Linked DNA regions of Yarrowia lipolytica. The protein of the gene in region 3 purifies or fractionates together with the protein of the main gene of each other region. This does not show direct contact. Links are inferred from orthologs where the notes say so. Each region holds a gene or a part of one and is shown on either strand. Other genes may lie near its edges. The genes, in order: YALI1_B16110g, YALI1_D21076g and YALI1_D14125g.

Region 1 (6,564 bases), on a different chromosome or scaffold from region 3:
CACATACGGAGCTTTCGGAGTGACAACCAAGCGAGGACTGCGGGTTATCTCAATGGACTCAAACTTCTGGTACAACGCCAACTATTACAACTACTGGAACACCACCTCTCCCGACACTTCTGGAATGATGAAGTGGATGGTTGACCAGCTGATAGAGGCTGAGAAGAACGCCCAGAAGGTCTGGATCATCGCCCACGTTCCCACCGGGGGAAGTACCACCAACGCCCTCCCTCACGCTACCGAGGTGTTCCGGCAGATCGTTGACCGATTTGCTCCACATACCATTGCCGCTCTATTTTTTGGACACACCCACGAGGACCAGTTCAACGTGTACTACGCTGGAAACGGCACCGATAACTCCATCGATAACGCTCTGACCGTGGGATGGATCTCGCAGTCAGTCACTCCTCTGCACAACTACAACCCCTCGTGGAGATACTACGAGGTTGACAGTGATACATTTGAAATCATGGAGTCCATCAATTATTATGCCCAACTCCACAAGACATTCGAGTTTGATATGGACAAGCCTGAGATTGCGAACAACGGCTCCTTTACTCGAGTCACATACCCTCCCCGAACTCCTGATGAGGAGCTCGAGTGGATCTTTGAGTACTCTGCCCGAGATGTCTATGATCCTGATCAGAAGTGGCCTCGAGAAGCTCCTCTCAACGCCACTTTTTGGCACAACGCTATCCAGTACATTATCAGCAACGATACAGGCAGAGAGGACTACCTCAAGTATGAGTACCGAGAGAGTCCCTTTGTTCCTGATGGAAGCGACCCCGAGTACATCAAGAACATGTACTGCTACTTTTCGTCTGGTACCGTTCCTGCTGTGTTTGAGTGCCAGAAGCGAATGAACATCACCAAGGAGATCTGGATCTAAACGGGGTGTATCTGTTTAGATTCTCGTGGTATCCTATTTTCGTATCTTTTCAAATATTTTGTTGTATCTCGAATGGTATCTGTTTTTGTATTATAGCTTTGTAACTTACAGTAACTGGGATTCGCTCTACTTGTATACCTTGGAAGATGGGAACCTTGGAGGTCAGCACCATGTTACAGTATAAGCACAGCTGTATTATAGATGGTGCTTAAGAAAGGGATAAATTAGAGGACAATATATAAGTCATGATTCCGTGACTCCGCTGTCCCCCCCTTAAACATAGGCGACCTTTCTTGCAGTCATGGTTACCGAACACCTACCAATACGCTCAACTGAACTATCCAAATCAGTCTATCATTATGTTATGTATCTAAAACTCCTCTTCGTCCTCTCCCTCAAGGTCGACTCGTCGCTTACCTTCACCTGCCAGCTTCATGTCAGCAAAAGACCGCTGAGCAGCCTGCTTGGAAACAGTAGCCTGCATTCGCTCAATCTCCTCCTCAGCGTTAGAAGCATCGGCCTGAGCGTACTGAAGAACAAGACGTCGGCCGAGCAGATGGGTGCCCTGCAGAGCAGACATGGCATGCTCAGCCTCCTTGGCAGACACGTACTCGGCAAAGGCGAAACCTCGAGACTCGGAGTTGAACTTCTTGGGCACTCGGACAGTCTTGAGAGAACCAAAAGCACCAAACAGCTTCTGAACATCCTTCTTGGTAGCCTCGAACGGCAAATTCTTGATGAGGATCTTGGAATCGATAGCCTTCTTGGTCTCTGTGGTCTCCTCGTCCTGGCCACGGTTGGAGATCTTGAGCTGCAGCTTATGGCCATCAAGCACATGACCATCCATGGCCTTCTGGGCAATCTCAGCAGCCTCCTTGGAGGAGAACTCGACGAAACCGAAACCCATGGACAGGAACTTTCCCTTGTTCTTAGAGTCAGGCTTCATCTTGACCTGAGCAACCAGGAAACCGTCCAGAGCCTTGAAGGCGTCGGTGAGAACACGGGAGGTGGTCTTGAAGTTCAAGTTCTTGACAAATACAGAAGTAGAAGCAGTAGCAGGTCTTTCATCGTTAGAACCAGTGTCCATAACGTCAGAAGCAGACAGCTTGTCCTCGATAGTAACAATCTTGTCTTGTTTAACATGCTCAACCTCATCACTCTCCATCTTCTCGTTAGGAAGCAGGTTCTTGGGACCCTTCTCCAGGTACAGAATGCTAGTCTTGAACCTTCGGAAAGCCAGCTTGGCAAACGCAGCTCGAGCGTCGGGAATGTGCTTGAAAATGACAATAGCAATAGTTCCAGCTGGAGGCATCATCACCTTATAGAGATCTCCGTATTCAGAAAACATCTCAGCAATCTCAGGCTGGGTGGTTCCAAAGGGGAAGTTCTTGACAAGAATGACTCGATCATCTCTATCCTTGTTGTCAAAGGAAGCCAGATCAACGCCCATCTTCTCAAAGTACGACTTGACATCTCCAATAACAGTGGCCTCAGCCAAAGCCTGCTTGACAGCAGCATCACTGGAGTCTGGGTCGATCAATTCGGACTTCTTGATACCCATACTCTTGGCCACACTCTCCATGACGGCGTCCTGGTTCATGTACAGCGAATTCCAAGAGAACTGCTGTTTGGCAGCCTCGGCCTTTCGCTTCAGCTCCTGCTGCTTCTTGAGAGGCAGGTTTTTGAGATCGTGCTCGTCCAGTCGGTTGTAGTCCTTCTTGGGCTTTCCGGGTAGGATATGCAAAAGTCGGCCCTGGAAAATCTTTCCATCCTGGGCCTCGTACGCTGCGATGGCGTTTTCGGGGTCCTCAAACTGCACGTGTGCGAATCCCTTGCACTGGCCAGTCTTGGTGTTGATGGGTAGATGAACCTCCTCCAACTCTCCGTACTGCGAAAACAGCTGTCGGAAATCCTCCTCTTTGGCTGTATAGAGCAGGTTTCGCAAGAACAGACGTCCAGTTTTTCTAATGCTCACAATGGTAGGGTCCTCAGAGGGCTCCTCATCAACAGGAGTAGCAGCCTTGGGAGCATTGCCTTTTCCTTTCTTGCCCTCGCTCTTGGACTCGGTGTGTCTGTTTTCACGGTCCTCCTCGGGTTCCCCCTCCTTGATTCGTGTTTGTCGTTGTCGCAACCAGTCCATATCTGAAACGCCAGGATCAGCAGCAAGTCCGTCTTCAATAACCGGATCTTCCTCGTCCTCCTCGGCCTCCTCATTGTCGTCATCCTTCTTGTTCTCACTCTCCTCTTCCTCGTCCTCGTCCTCGTCTATCTCGTCGTCACCCTTGCCGGTAAACTCGTCATACTCATCATCAGAAGCAGTAGACTGGATCACCTGAGGCTCGTTGGCAACAGCTCCAGCATCGTTGTTGGCCCAGGTCTTAGCGTTAGATCGAACCTGCATGGCATCCAGATAGTCAGCCAGTCGAGGATCGGAGGCGTTGCCCAAACCATTAATGTCGTCAATGGTCATAGGCTTCTCGAGATACCGGGCCTTCTTGGCCTCCCGGTCGTCCTCAGCGTCCTCTCGAGCTCTCTGAGCAGCCTGCCGCTTTCGCTCTCTTGAAGACAGAGGAACATTGGGGTCTGTGAAAGTCATGGCAACAGCCACGGAGATCTTGGTAGAGTTGATGAAAGATGTGTCAAAATACTTGACGGCAGCCTCGGCAGTCTCGTCGGATCGGAAACCAACGAATCCGAACCGTCTGGTCTTGCCGTCTCGAGCTCTCACCACCTTGACATCAGTGATATCGGAAGGGGCAAAGCCAGCAGACTTGGGATCCTTGACGGTGGAAAAGTGTTTCTTCAGGCCAGCCTCATCGAGGTAAGGCGGCAGGTTTTTCACAATCAGTCGAGACATTCTGTGGTGTGTGGGAAATTTTCCTCACCTGCATCTGCAAGATACTAGAAATTTTAAAGTTAAGGTGTTCGCTGAAAGCTTATTTTGTCTACAATATGGAATTGTGGAGGGAAGTGAATTGTCCAAGTATGTACTGTAGCTACTGTAAGTACTGTAGCTATTACACAAAGGATAAGAAAACAGGTACATAATGGTACCAGTGGTTTGCTGAGGATTAGATATCCTCAGAGGGAAACCCTCAAGATGGCTACTGCTCCAAAGCAATAAGAATACAGATATTCTGATATAAGCTTAGTCAGCTTATCTCGAACTGCAACCTTCCAAGGGTCCGACTCGATATATCGATATAATTGAACAGGAGACGTCAAACATTTCTAGCAAATCCATAGGTTTCATTTAACTACGTCTATTTTCATTTCTGTCTCTACATTCTGTCACTAATTTATCCCCGTGTCAACCTCAAACGAGTCTACAACTTTCTTGGTTGGCACAAGTTGACTCTTTCAGACCCCTAAAAAGTGAAGATAACCATCGTAATCTAGAATTGCAGATATGGTATATACAGTACTTTAATACCAATTCTTTTCCTTAACTATTTCATTTGTTGGCTCTGAAAATCTCACGACATTCTCAGCCGAAGAGATGTCTAAACAGCTCTGTAGGCAGTAGTATTTATCATCATGGAAAAGACCGTGGTACAATGAGACAACAGCCTTATATCTTTAAAACCATTTTTTTTTTAATTCCATCTTTGCTATTGTATCGAGACATGGCTCTCTTACGGTCTTACAGTAACTTAGGGCCAGTTTGTTCACATCCACCATCGACAATAAACATTACAGTGTACTCACATATCTATCAACAACCATAATACATCCGCGGCTTATGGAAACCTCAGATACTATCTCTAGTAAAATCAGACGAGTGCTTGAACGTGACCGATCGTCACTCGTTCACGTGTCAGCAACTATGGAATCTACAAGTACAAAGGACCATCATCTGAGTATGGAGTAAGGAAACCATCTGAGTATAGAGTCTATGATTAGGGTCTTGCCTTTAGAAGTTCCCTTTTTCCGCCATCACCCGTGGGTCTCTGTTGAATATCAATATTCGTCAGCACCATCCGTTGGGTCTCTTCCAGTACCTTCAGAACTCGGTCGCGTCCGCGTCTTGAAATCTGGAAATGAATCCGACTCCTGGGATTAGACATCGTATGTATTCAAATGCCTGTTCTGTAAATGGGTTCTACAAATATGTTTCTAGCTCAAACTTGTAGCACCTGGGCTCCGGTCACAGTTCCGGAGATGTCCAGACCTGCTCGCGCTGACAAAGCATCGCAGGATGTTGATCGATATAATCTACAACGATATTGACAAGTTCGGGAGATAGATGAGTATCGAGCTAGTTCAAAATCGATGTTCGTCTCTTCATAAGGAAGACAGAGGCCAGTAATGCGTAACACTCGGACCGATCTTGGCCATCCAGGAGGATCTCCGATGAGACAATGAGTGTCACTGCAGTAGTGCGAATAAACGTGAACGAGTGGGTGTCGTGAGGGTGACAAGAAAAGAAGCAGAGTCAAATCATTCCATTTCAACCATTTACAGTATACTGCTAGATATGTTTCCCTAATGGTTAGCCCATTTGTCTAGAGTACTCATAGCTACTGTATTCCATAATCAAGGTTCACTGTGCTTCGATACTGCCTGGAGATAAGACAGATGCGATAATACACGACATGTTGGATGTAAGGGCATGTAATACGTGTTGATATTAATTGATCTGACGTATTATATAAACGATGTATATCCAGGACTCATTCAACACTAGACGCAACCCGATGCTCTCGTCACAATGATTGGATTCTTGGTCTCGGTCTCAGGTTGCGTCTTCTTTCGGCTCCTCTCACCACACTTCTTTAACACCCCTCAACCCACCACCATTCTATTCCACATCACCTCACACCACTTCAAGAGAGATACCGACACAATATAATTTCATCGATGAAACTGGAAACCAGAAAATACCTGCTGGTGACCATCCTGGTGGTCATGTTCACTATCGGCTCGGTCATGGACCTATGGCTCTACCTCCTGTGTCTTAGCCGATCACCCAACCTCAAGCACTACAGAGCTATGTTGGCTCGAAGATGGTGGTCGTGGACGATGTTCTCGGTGGGTCAGGTGGTCAACTTCAAGATCAAGATGCACGGCGACAAAATGATACCCGAGGGAAACATGCTGATAATCAGTGAGATACCTATGATGTGGTCGACGAGACACGAAATACTAACACAGGTAATCATCTATCAAGATACGACTATATGATCTACGCACTAATCAACAACCAGCATTGCGCCAAGTCGCACCTTGCATTCCTGTCCTGGAAACACATCTTTTCTCTCTTTAGCCTCAGCAAGATTCTGCCCTTCTACCGACTTGACGAAAACTGGATGTTCGAATCAGCAGCCGACCTTGAGAAAGAACTAGCCAAGCTAATCAACCCTTACTGTCTGGTGCTGTTCCCAGAAGTCTCGGTGGCAACCCCACAACTTATCAGACGACATAGAGAGCTCTGCAGAGCGTGTTTTGCACCTGAACTCACTCATGTACTCTACCCTCGCCACAGCAGCTTTGCAGACTTCATATTGGGACTGAATAAGGGCCAGGCTCTTAGTTACATCTACGACGCCACCATCTCGTATACTGACAAGAAAGATAAGATTCTATGTAATCCTGGAAACATAGATACTCTGTTGACTCAAGTGGAAACGGTTCATGTTCACATACACCGAGAACAGTATCGTCGGCTGCCGCGC
Region 2 (5,270 bases), about 690 kb from region 3:
TGCGGTGACGACCACGAACACGGGTTTTAACAGCTTCTGCTTTGCTGATCTTGAAAGACCGTCTTTTTAGTGCCATTTATGTTGTTGTGTGGACTTGTTCCATAACATATCACCGAAATGATCTGGTTGTGCTCTCAGATTACAATTGCGTGACTTGGGATAACAGATCCATGACCTCACTTCCTGTTCCTTTCATTCATTTCTAACCCAGCTCAAACCATGGCTCCAAGTCAACTCTCCCCGACACATTATCGAGGAGGGACATGAAGAAGGATTTGAAGACGGCCAGGAAGCGTCGCCCTACACGAAATCCGTGCTCTTCGCCAACTCTCTCACTCATCCAACCTCGCCACAGACTCTTCTCGTGTCCACAGCAAAACTCTTTCCTGTAGTGGAAGCTCTTTTCACTCAGAAATCGAAACCCATCAATCTCGGCGAGATTGTCGGCGAGATTCAGCTCAAAAAGAATGCCCAGAGCGCAGAAAACAGACGCAAGTTTACCACCGACTTTTTGGAGGAGGAAGACGAGGAGGACGAGCTGGAGGATGTCACTAAAGAGCTGATCACCTCCCACAAGGTAATCCTATCGCCAGTTCAGTATGGAGATGTGGTTCTAGTGGAAATCAAGCAGGATGAGCTTCTTCTGGCACATGGGTTTGCTCAACAGTTGGTTGATCTAATCAAACCCTGCCAAGCGCTCATTCTTGCACCTGGTAACACCATTGCTGACGTTCATGTGCACCAGCTGGATGTGGGTAAGTCGAATCTCGTCCCCCTGGCTTCCACACCTCTGCTGCAGTCTCCAAACTTCATATCTGGACTAGGAGCCGCCGTTCTCACCCGATGTCAGCAGTCACAGGTGCCTGCCACAGCACTAGTGGTCCAGAATGTGGGCACTCAGTCGTTCGAGCGATACCAGAGTGACACGTTCGAGGACCTGACTGGAATTCTCGCCGGAGTTTTCGGGCTCGACGCAGCAAAGGCGTTGAAGGAGTTGAGAGCAGATGATGGCGTTGCTGGACTGTACCTGTAGGAGGTCATGACTGCGTTGCAGAGGCGGTTTCGATGCGTCCACAACACAATTAGTATATTTGTCTTAGTATTGTACCTGATAAGGGCTCAGTGAACTTGTATGAGAATACCGCCTATGAAAACAGGCACAGCTGTAGTGCCTGAGACATGTCAGATACTTGTAGGTGTTATCACATTTCTCAGATTCCAGTCTTGTGGCAGTCTTCCCTCATTCTACGGTCGCAAAATCACATCATCTGGCAACCCTCACTGCATGCCAGATGTATGCAACTTTGCATCTTCACTTGTATTATCCGTTAAATATATACTACATTAATCCTTCTTTGACTTCTTCTTCTTAGGAGTCTCATCACCGCCCAAGCTCTTTCGCTTCTTGTCCTTCTTTTCCTTCTTGTCCTTCTTGTCCTTCTTCTCAGACTTGTCCTTCTTTTCCTTCTTTTCCTTCTTGTCCTTCTTTTCCTTCTTCTCCTTCTTGTCGGAATCGTCATCCATCTCAACGTCAGAGTCCTCATCGACCTCAACGTCGCCCATGTTGGCCAGAACCTCGTCCATGGCGTTCTTCATGGCATCGACGTTCTTGGTGGGGGCAACTCCGGTATCGTAGAAGGTGAGTCGCTCCTCGACCTGCTGCTTGAGGGCCTTTCCGAAGATGGAAGTGGGCACATCGGAGTAGTTGTCGATTCGAGATGCAATGGAACACTTGTTGGCGAGGAATCGGGAGATTCGGCCCTTGTTCTTGAGACCGGCCTTGCCGATGAAAGAAGAGTGGTAGATCAGACCGTATTTAGGGGTGTTTCCCTTGGTCTTAAGAGCTCGGAACAGAGCCTTCTCGGCACCGAGAATCTGGACAGTAGAGGCAGGGTACTTGGACAGGTTGGTAAGAGAACCGGCGTGAGAGATGAGTCGGGCACCAACAACCTCACCAATAAGCTCGGACAGGTTGGGAGCAATGGTGTTCATCTTCTCGGACAGGTAGCCGTAGAGCTTTCGTCGGTAGTCGGTGATGTTGACAACTCGCTCGGCGAAGGTGGTAACGTTGTCCATGTCAGCCTCGGAGATGTCCTGGCCCATGGAGATCTTGGAAGCGTCGATAATCTGCTGGGCAAGACCAGCATCGTCGTTCACGATGGCAGCAATGTCGTGCAGGGAGTCCTCGGACAGCTCGGACTTGTCCTTGATGTAGAGAGCGAGCTTGGCAAAGTTGTAGTTGTCGTTGACGAGCTTGGCGAGCTCGGGGAAGTGCCAGCCATACCACTCCTTGACTCGCATGGAGAAGGTGTTGATATCCTTGTCCAGCTGGTCCAGCAGCGCAATGGCCTGGATGATGTGGTTGTCGTTCTTGTTGACGGAGAACTTGACCTTGGCTCGGGAGTAGGCGTGGCCCAGACCAAGCTGAGCTCGCTCAAGATCGCCAGAGTCAAGCTGCTCCAGGAACCGGTCGCCAAACAAACGGATTCCTCGCTGGAGATCGTGGACGGCCTCGTTGGAGACACACTCGACGTTGGGGAGAGCCTCCTTTATGCTCTGGCCCAGGTTCTTGTCACTGATACCAAGCACAATCTTCTTCTTCTTGGATCCCTCAGGCAAGTTGAGCTCGAGCAGGGACTTGAGGTGGTCGTTGCAGATACCCTCGGAAATATCGTTGGCGTTCTCCAGAGCATGGGCAGCACCCTTGAAGGGGGCAAAAGACACCAGCTTGACAAGCTTGGAAAACTTGTTGAAGTCGGTACAAGACTCCTGGACCTCCTTGACTCGGGCGCCAATGTTCTCGGGCTGCAGCAGCACCTTGAACAGAGCGTAGCCAGAGGCCTCCTCGAAAAGTACGTAGTCGATTTGGTCCGACATGGTGTGTGTAGTGGTGTTGGACAAGTGTGTGGTTGGGAGAAAAGTGGACAGGAATATTTTTAAACGTCCTGCAGCGTCAGAAAAAATTGTGCAGAAAAAAATAGCCTTTTTACCCGGCCGTGGAGACTAGACGGGGGACAATAGTGGGTCGTTCGCAAATGGCCGTGGTGGTTCGTTTATGAGTAGGCGCCGTGATATGTTTATTGTTTAGAGGGTTAATGAGTGTGCCACTGAATTTTGGGCCACAGGTCTCAGCTGCGTGTGTTGTTTAGTTCGGATTGGTTTGGCATGTAGTTTGACCGACTTCGGAGTAGACCTACGAGCAACTTGTTCCAAAAAGGGGCTGAAAAGTCGCCATTTTTACACTGCAATGGATGGATATTATGAGAAAAATGGTTGATCCAGATGTATAATGGCCGGTTGGCATCTTTACCGTATCAGTTTTATGTCTATATGGCGACATTATCTGGCCGTGCTGAGCAGTAACCAGAGATCGATGCAACCCAAACATTATCTGATAGAGTCCAGCATATAACGTCTTCGACTGGGCGTGACAAAAGCAGATATTGACATATAGAAAGCTTTTGGTATATCTTTGGGCATACTGAAAGTTCGAGAAGCTATTTCTAGCCTTTCTGATCTCAGAGATAATGACTATAGCTCGTCCAATATCGCACACAACGTACCTCGGATCAAAGTTACTGTTGACAATCTGGGTACAGCAACAAGCAACGGTGAATGTGCCTTTAGAGCAGTCTTCGAGAAGCGAATTTTTTACTGGGGGATCTTGGAGTTTGGAATACCTGGTTTACGTCTTTTCTACTCAGATTCGGGGAAACAGGGGTCTGTTGACGAAGGCTTCCTGGTGTCTAAAAAAAATACGATTAGGTTTGGAGGTGTTGTAGCATGTCGATGTTAGTAGTTGTGATAGAGGAGTTTTGCACTCGTTGTAGGACAGTTTGGGCGAAGGGTACTTGTTGCATCAGTTTTACATCCGAATATTAATAAATTCCGCAAATAATAGCAGATTTTGGTCACATTACCCAAGAGAGTCCTTTTTTTTTTTTTTTTTTTTTTTTTTTTTTTGGCCATTTTGGGACAGGTAATTCAGGTGTAGCATCAGCGAATGTTCAACTTCTGTGGTGGACTGTCGGCATGGAATCCAACAAAGGAGCTGATATACAGAAACGTTTTCGGCTGATCTTGGAGATGGTACCAATCTCGTATTCATCGCTACACTGTCTCCTGTTCACATTCACCATCCCCATACTTCTCTGTGTCTGTCCAATGGCGGTGAGTGGAGGTCGTTCATTCGCACATATAGGACCACGAGAGTTCTGGAGAGTTCTGGAGAGTTCTGGAGAGTTCTGGAGAAGTTTTTAAAGGGTTTCCATCGCTAAAAGTTTTTGGCAACTAGCGTCCAAGTTTCTGGCAGAAACTGAGCGTCGTGTTCTGCTTACAGCATCTAAACTGGACACCCATGGGCTACAGTACAAGTTCTTATGGAACTATCCCATTGAGAGTTGAGAATCTCCTTCTGTGACCCGCAAATCAGAATCCGTTATCTCTTGCCGTTGAGATTCACTCAGATCATTCCATAACAAGTACCTGTACAAGCCATGGTAGGTACAGTGCCACTTGATTTACTACGACTACTTCGAATTATCACAATAACTAGCGAAAATGAAGATTAAATCGAAGAAAAGAGCGTGATATTCGAAGATCGCGAATAGCTACAGAAACACATTCTTATCATCTACTGTAGTGTATTCTCACCATTCACCCTCACATCATACCCATCATGATCAATACTTGACTAGCTAGTGTATGAGAAACAAGCATCGTAACCACTTTTCATAACCACTCTTCATGACCACTCTTCATAACTAGTATCTCCGGGGTCCACCACAGAAAGAGCTACTTGTAGCAACTTCACCCACCCTAGAATCAATATCCCTACATCTGAGTGCCGGTATCTGCTAATGCGCTCATATGTCATTCCTGCATATTGGATGATGCGGATGGTGCGGAATATGATAATACCGGACTTATATCCATGGGTTCTGTTGAAGCTGAGAAAGTGAGACCGACTGTTGCGAAAAGGCTTAGTAATCAGTTCCAAGGACACCCCTTCTCCACGCCTTCTCCACAAACGCGTGTAATATACCTCCAAAACCTCACTCATGAGCTCTCCCGCAAGACCGTCATTTACTTAGCCTTTCCACTAACTCTAATATTTAGTTGCTTACTACTTGATCTCAAATAAGCTTCTGGATAGGTGAAAAGATTAGAGCTGTACATACAGAAGCACACCCACTTCCACACCACTCTGACATCTCAAAAATGACCTCTGTGGAGAACACCTGCAGCGGCCCCGATTGCGGAAAGATTGT
Region 3 (5,912 bases):
TGCTGTGCGCGAGTCAACTAAGCTGTCCTCTGGAGCAGAAGTGCTTTGTATATAAATCTTGCCGGCTGCTCCTTATGTTGTTTTGTTTCCGCCCTCCGCCCTCCGCCTTCTTTTACAACGCCCTTGGCTCTCTTTATTGACTCAACCCCGAATCGAACGGCTGTGACTACGAGCTCTTACACCCCGACAACCGTTACAGTGTGTCGTACTGTACCTCAAAACAGATAGGGCCTGCAACCAGCAACCCGCAGCACACGCGCTTTGAAGAGCCTCTCTAGCACCTCCGATCGGAAACACTCAGGTTTAAGATCGCGCCATCGTATTTTCTTTGTTCATTCTAACCAAACCTTGCGGACTCATCGTATACAAGCACGTACGTACTCGTACTACCACAACGACTTGTCCTGCTCGGTGAAACAAACGACATCCCCGGAAACCTTGGCGCAGTGCTCATTTAGAATTAGTTGACGCATCTCAACTAGCTACTGCACGATACCGTAACCGCCCAGACACTGCGTTTCGACATCTCCACAACTCTCCCTTACACAAACAACACCCCCAAAACATCCTTTTTGCACCACCTCCGCCATGCCCGAGCCCACAATCGAAAGCCTGAAGAAGGAGGTCGACTTTCTCTCTGCCCAGCTCCGAAAAGTCACCGGGCTGGTCGCTGAGACCGGCAAACAGGTGCTCTCCATCCAGGTGAACCAGGAGAAGGGCGCCCTCAACAACCTCACAATCACCGACGTGGAAGGCAAGCCAGTCCAGTCGCAAAAGGACAAGGCTTCATCGTCCGAAGACAGCCAGGCCGTCACCTCTGAGGATCTCGTGGTGCTTGTGACCGAACTCCAGGACCAGCTCGACAACCTCGAGACTAAGTCGATCCGACGAACCGCAAACTCCTTTGCCCAGAAAGACGCCGACCTCATTGCCTCGCTGCCCCGAATTGATGGCATGTGCCCCGCCCAGGAGCTCGACGACGAAACCCACCCCGACTGGGTATTCCCCAAGACCCTGGGAGAGTTCAAGAAGCTCGATAATGCCAAGGTGGAACAGTGGATGCGGTTCTACGAGCTGCTGCCTCCGGACGAAGCCGAACTTGCCAAGCTCCAAGAGGTGCTGGGCAAGGAGGAGCTTGAGGAGGCCATGGAGAACGCCCGAAAGTCTGCTGAACTGTCGGAGGCGGAGGCCATTGAGCGATTTGATACTCTCGCCCGGTTCTTTGGTCTGCGGGAGCGACGAGGCACCAACGCCTGGTAGATGTGCCCGCTATGACTATTGATACAAAATCCATTACGACTTCCGGTATTCTTCTTTTTCGAGGCCGAATTAATAATGAGCGAAAAAATGACAACCATGAGACCACCAATCGAGAGAGAAACAGTACACAGTATATTATTTTAGTTTTTTGTTTCCTCATTTGAGGACAATGTGAAAAAAAAAAAAGCAGATGATAGATGATGATGTTTAAATACTGTATTACATGTCGGCCTATAGAGGACTACTTATAGGTACGCCACTCAAGCGTCTCCGTATCTGATCAGATATCTGTGCCATATCCCGTTAACTATATAATGCTTTTCTAAATCACTCGTTTCGGACCTTCTTTCGAGATCGGTCTCCAGAGGCGTCTTCTCCATCTCCTCCGTTGGCTCGCTTGAATCCTCCTCGATCAGAGCCTCCAAATCCTCCTCGGGGAGCCCCGCCTCGACCTCCTCGGAAACCTCCTCGGCCCCGACCTCCTCCTCGAGGGAAAGTTCCTCCTCCTCGAGTGATGATTCGGGCTCCACCTCGGCCAAATCGCTTCTGTCCAGGATTGGCCAGAGACTTGGCGTCCAGAGGGATTCCGAGCTCCTCGTACTCCTTGGCTAAAGCGTCATCAGTGGCATGGAGAGTCACCCACCAGTCACTCTTTCGTCGCAGAAACTTGTCCAGCGACCAATTTCTCCAGACCGCCTTTCCATATGTGTTTTCCTTGAGATCTTCGTCGGCCACCAGCTCGTTAGCAATCTTCTCTCTAAAGTTGTTCATCTTGTAGGTGAAGTTCCAAAGCCGGTCCATAACGTGTGATGCAAACGGGTCTCGGGCAAGATCGACGCACTGGCCGTTGATCTTGTTGAGGAACTTTCGTCGCTCGATCGTGTTGATGGACGGCCGCAGACACTTTTCCAGCAGACGCGAGTACGACTGGTGCTTGGCCATCTTGATGACATCGACATCGCCAGAGTTGAGTCCCACGAAAGCGGTAGCAAGCACCTCGGGAGAAGCTTCCACCAGTTGTTGCAGCACCAGACATCTATGCAGACCGGGAGAAGAAGCCTCATGGGGTTTGTAGGGGTTCTTCTCGTCCAGCTGAAGCACCTTCTGTAGGAGCTTGGGGTCGGTGGAGTCTGTATCAAATGTCTTGAGCACCGCATTGGCAACGTCGGTTGCCTTGTAGTTGGCAGCAGCAGCTCGGGTAAGCAGAATTCGAACCATGGTCAGGTTGTTGTTCTCCACCAGATAGGGAATTTCTCCCATGGCAGTATCAATAATGTGGTGGACGTCGGCCTCGGGAAGACGCTGCATGCAGGTCTCAATGACAAATCCGGCGTAGTCTCGTCGCACCAACTTCTGCACTCGCTGAGACATGTACAGTCTGTAGAGTCGCTCGACAAAGGCCTCAGGGGCCTTCTGAAGCACGTTCTGGAGAAAGTGCGAACCCACAGCATCGGACAGAAGGTGCTCAACAAACGCCTCCTCAGAGGAGTCTCGATCTTCGGTGTCGGCAAAGATGGTGTTCAACAGAGGTCGCTGCTCAGAAGTGGTAGCCTCAGAGTCAATCAGCAGTTGGACCACGGGCGAAGAAACCTGTCCAATAGCTAGCTCTCGAGCAGCAGTGGGCTTGAGTCGTTTGCTGAAGCCGCTGACAATGGCCTCCAGAGCATCGTGGAAGGCTCCGGGAATCTGGTATGCTCGGTCATTCTCCTCCGAGTCCTTAATGTCAATATTTCGTCGGGCGGTTCGCGACTTTTTCGATCGCAGCACCGACGAGTTGCCCTCGGAACTTGTGGGAGAGGGCAGAGTCTGGCCTCCGAGAATGAGCAACAGCACTCGAATCACGTGCGAAGCGTAAGGGTTGGAAATGAGGTCCTGGATGTAGTCCTTCATGTCGTTTGCAAGGGTCAAGAACCGCTTCTCCATAGAATCCTCGCTGTCGCCATCAAAGTTGGGGTCTAGCACCTCCTTCTCCACAATGGCGGCTCCTCGCACCAGCAGAGTCTCCACGCAATGGGAAGAGTACTTGTGTCTGCTGAGGTCCACAAAGTAGCCGGAGAACACCTCAAACAACGCCCGGATCTGCTCGTCGTTGGCCAGCAAGATCAGTCGCTCCATGAGCTTGGAGCAAATCTGGTTCGTCACCAGCTTAAGCTCTTTTCCTCGAGCCTCGTCCAGCAAACCAGAGATGAATCCCAGCTTCTCTTCGGGTGACCCAAAAGCATCGACGGCCAAAGTGGACTCGGCGGTTTTAAAGTACTCTGACTCCTGGTCATCGAGGAATCCAAAAAATGGCATCTGCTTGAGATCCAGAGGGTTGTAGGGGGTCTCATTGTCGTAGCCATCGTTCTCTTCATCATCATGACCTCCAGCCACTCCTCCGTCAGCATCAAAAGTGACGTAGTCTTCGTCGTTCTCATAGACCTTAAGGTCAACGTCTTCCTTTTCCTCCTCGGCTCGCTTGGCGGCGGCTCGTCTTCCTCTCTTCTTGACTTCTCGAGGCATTCTTTCTCAAAGATGTAGATACTGTGAAATAATTTAGCTCACCGAAAATATATTTTTCTGCAATGCACACTGAAGAGGTTTATTTAGGTTTGGGTTTTTTCACACATTAAACAAAATTACTTATCATTTACTCGAGGCAACTACCCTCGTTGGATCAATCCTGACGTCGCGCTCTCTCAATCACAAACATGCATCTATAACTCATTTTATATACCAATCCGCTACTCCGTTTAATCATCCTGATCCCAGTTACCAATAGACTGCTGCTTGGGCATGGTGGGGCCGCCAGCTCGCTTGGCCATGATAATCTGGTCGACTGTGAGAATGGTGTTGGCCACGTCAGTCGCAAGCTCGATGGCAGACATCTTGGCGGAGTAAGAGTCAAAGATATCGGCAGCAGAGGCGTCGCAGGTGCCGGTGCTGTCGTTGTCGTCGACATCGACACCAGTGGTGTTTCGGCCCTCGGAGTGAGCAGCGTAGAGTCGGGCAAGCACCTCGATGGCGTCCAGACCAGCGTTCTCGGCCAGAGTTTCGGGCAGGACTTCAAATGCCTGTCCGTAGGCCTTGATGGCATGCTGCATGAGACCCTGGGTTCGCTCGCCCTGCTGCACAATGGTAGAAACCAGCCGGATTTCGGTGGCTCCAGCTCCAGGAACCAGACGGGGATCCTTAGAGATGGACTTGACAACAGACACACCGTCATCAATGGCTCGCTCCACGTCGTCGAGAGCGTTCTGGGTAGCACCTCGAACCACAACGGTCGCGGTTCGGGTCGCCTCGTCCTCCTGTCGGAGCACGGTGACTCGGTCGCCTCCAATCTCAATGGTCTCAACCACATCGACAGTGCCCATCTCCTCGGGAAGGGGAGCTCCGACTCGAGCGAGAGGAGTGGCGCCAACCACTCGGCACAGTCGTCGCAGATCAAACTTGGAGGGAACCTTAAGGGCAATCAGACCCATTCTGTTCATGTAGTGCAGAGGCAAGTCTCCGAGACCAGCGCCGCAGACGACCACCTTGACGCCGGAGTCGGCAATGTTCTTAACCATGGTCTCGACCTGGGCCTCCTCACCCTTGGAGAAGTTGAGCATCTCCTGGGCAGACTTGAGCAGCACAGTACCCTTTGTTTCGGTAGAGGAGATGTCGACAGGGGTAGAGAAAACAACAACCTTGGCCTTGCCACAATTCTTCACAGTGGACTCGGGCTCCCGGTTGAAAACCATACCCTTGATGACCTGGGATGCGCCCAGAGAGGCGCCCATGATCTTGACGACTCGGATGGCGTCCACGTTGAAAGCCTTGATGTTCTTGGGCATGACATGCTGGACAGCCTCGGTGACCAATCGCGAGATGATTGCCTCGTGGCCGTACTGCTTGGATGCCACGGCGGTCTTGACGGCTCGAGCCAGCAGCTGCGAGGTGACCAGAGCCTGGGCGGTGTCTCCGTTGGCCAGCTCAGCGTTGGCAGTGGTCTCGGCAGCAATGGTCTCCAGCTCCATCAGCGCCAGACCCTTGGCTCGCTCGTAGCCCTGGACCACTTCGGAGGGATGCAGTCCGATTCGAATGAGCTCGTCGGCCTTGTTGAGAAGCGAGCCGGCCAGAGTCAGAACCAAGTTGGTGGCATCTCCACACTCGAGCTCCTGCTGCTGGGAGGCCTGGACCAGGAGTTTGGCGGCAGGGTGAATCACCTCGAGCTCCCGCAGAATGGTGGCGGCATCAGATGTCAGAAAGATTCGGCCAAGATGGTTGACCACAATCTTGTTTCGACCACAGGGTCCAATAGAGGTTCGAACCATGCCGGTGATTTCTCGACAGGCCTGGATGTTTCGCTGGACGGCGCCGTCCTCGGCATTGGATGTCTGGTATCCCTGCTTGAACAGGCCCGCATTGGGGGCGGTAGGTAGCTTGAGATTCGACATTATGGTGTAGTTGTAGTTAAGACAGGTACCGTGTGCATTCGATAGTCTTCGATTTTTTTTGAGGGTTAGGGCGGCAGAGATGGTGCGAAATGGGTGTCTAAACGGGTGATAGAGATGGGTTGGGGGTGATGTGTGTGTTGATCTGGGTAATTGTCCTCTCAAATAATACCCTCGAACCATTTATTCGCCTACTTGTACTACAATCTACGTCATTTATCAGGGGTTGGGGTGTAT

What was found.
Region 1: the proteins of YALI1_D14125g (region 3) and YALI1_B16110g purify together in Saccharomyces cerevisiae (affinity purification with mass spectrometry; 3 studies listed by BioGRID). This does not show direct contact. The link is inferred for Yarrowia lipolytica from reciprocal best matches to the Saccharomyces cerevisiae genes NOP9 and MRD1.
Region 2: the proteins of YALI1_D14125g (region 3) and YALI1_D21076g purify together in Saccharomyces cerevisiae (affinity purification with mass spectrometry; 3 studies listed by BioGRID). This does not show direct contact. The link is inferred for Yarrowia lipolytica from reciprocal best matches to the Saccharomyces cerevisiae genes NOP9 and NOP56.

What each region holds. Positions count from the first base shown.
Region 1 is NC_090771.1:1,608,270-1,614,833, reverse strand, and holds YALI1_B16110g (uncharacterized protein), read right to left. Parts: upstream 3,747-6,564; coding exon 1,260-3,746; downstream 1-1,259. Other genes in the region: YALI1_B16158g (uncharacterized protein), read left to right, coding at 1-889; YALI1_B16087g (uncharacterized protein), read left to right, coding at 5,896-5,920, 6,044-6,564. UniProt on the Saccharomyces cerevisiae protein: Involved in pre-rRNA processing. Required for maintaining steady-state levels of 40S ribosomal subunit. Required for the initial processing of pre-rRNA at the A0 to A2 sites, leading to the processing of the 23S pre-rRNA intermediate to the 18S rRNA.
Region 2 is NC_090773.1:2,104,757-2,110,026, forward strand, and holds YALI1_D21076g (uncharacterized protein), read right to left. Parts: upstream 2,878-5,270; coding exon 1,345-2,877; downstream 1-1,344. Other genes in the region: YALI1_D21044g (uncharacterized protein), read left to right, coding at 212-1,033; YALI1_D21100g (uncharacterized protein), read left to right, coding at 5,221-5,270. UniProt on the Saccharomyces cerevisiae protein: Required for 60S ribosomal subunit synthesis.
Region 3 is NC_090773.1:1,410,357-1,416,268, reverse strand, and holds YALI1_D14125g (uncharacterized protein), read right to left. Parts: upstream 3,763-5,912; coding exon 1,588-3,762; downstream 1-1,587. Other genes in the region: YALI1_D14156g (uncharacterized protein), read left to right, coding at 589-1,260; YALI1_D14104g (uncharacterized protein), read right to left, coding at 3,993-5,858. UniProt on the Saccharomyces cerevisiae protein: RNA-binding nucleolar protein required for pre-rRNA processing. Component of the 90S pre-ribosome involved in production of 18S rRNA and assembly of small ribosomal subunit. Component of the pre-40S ribosome required for release from the nucleolus.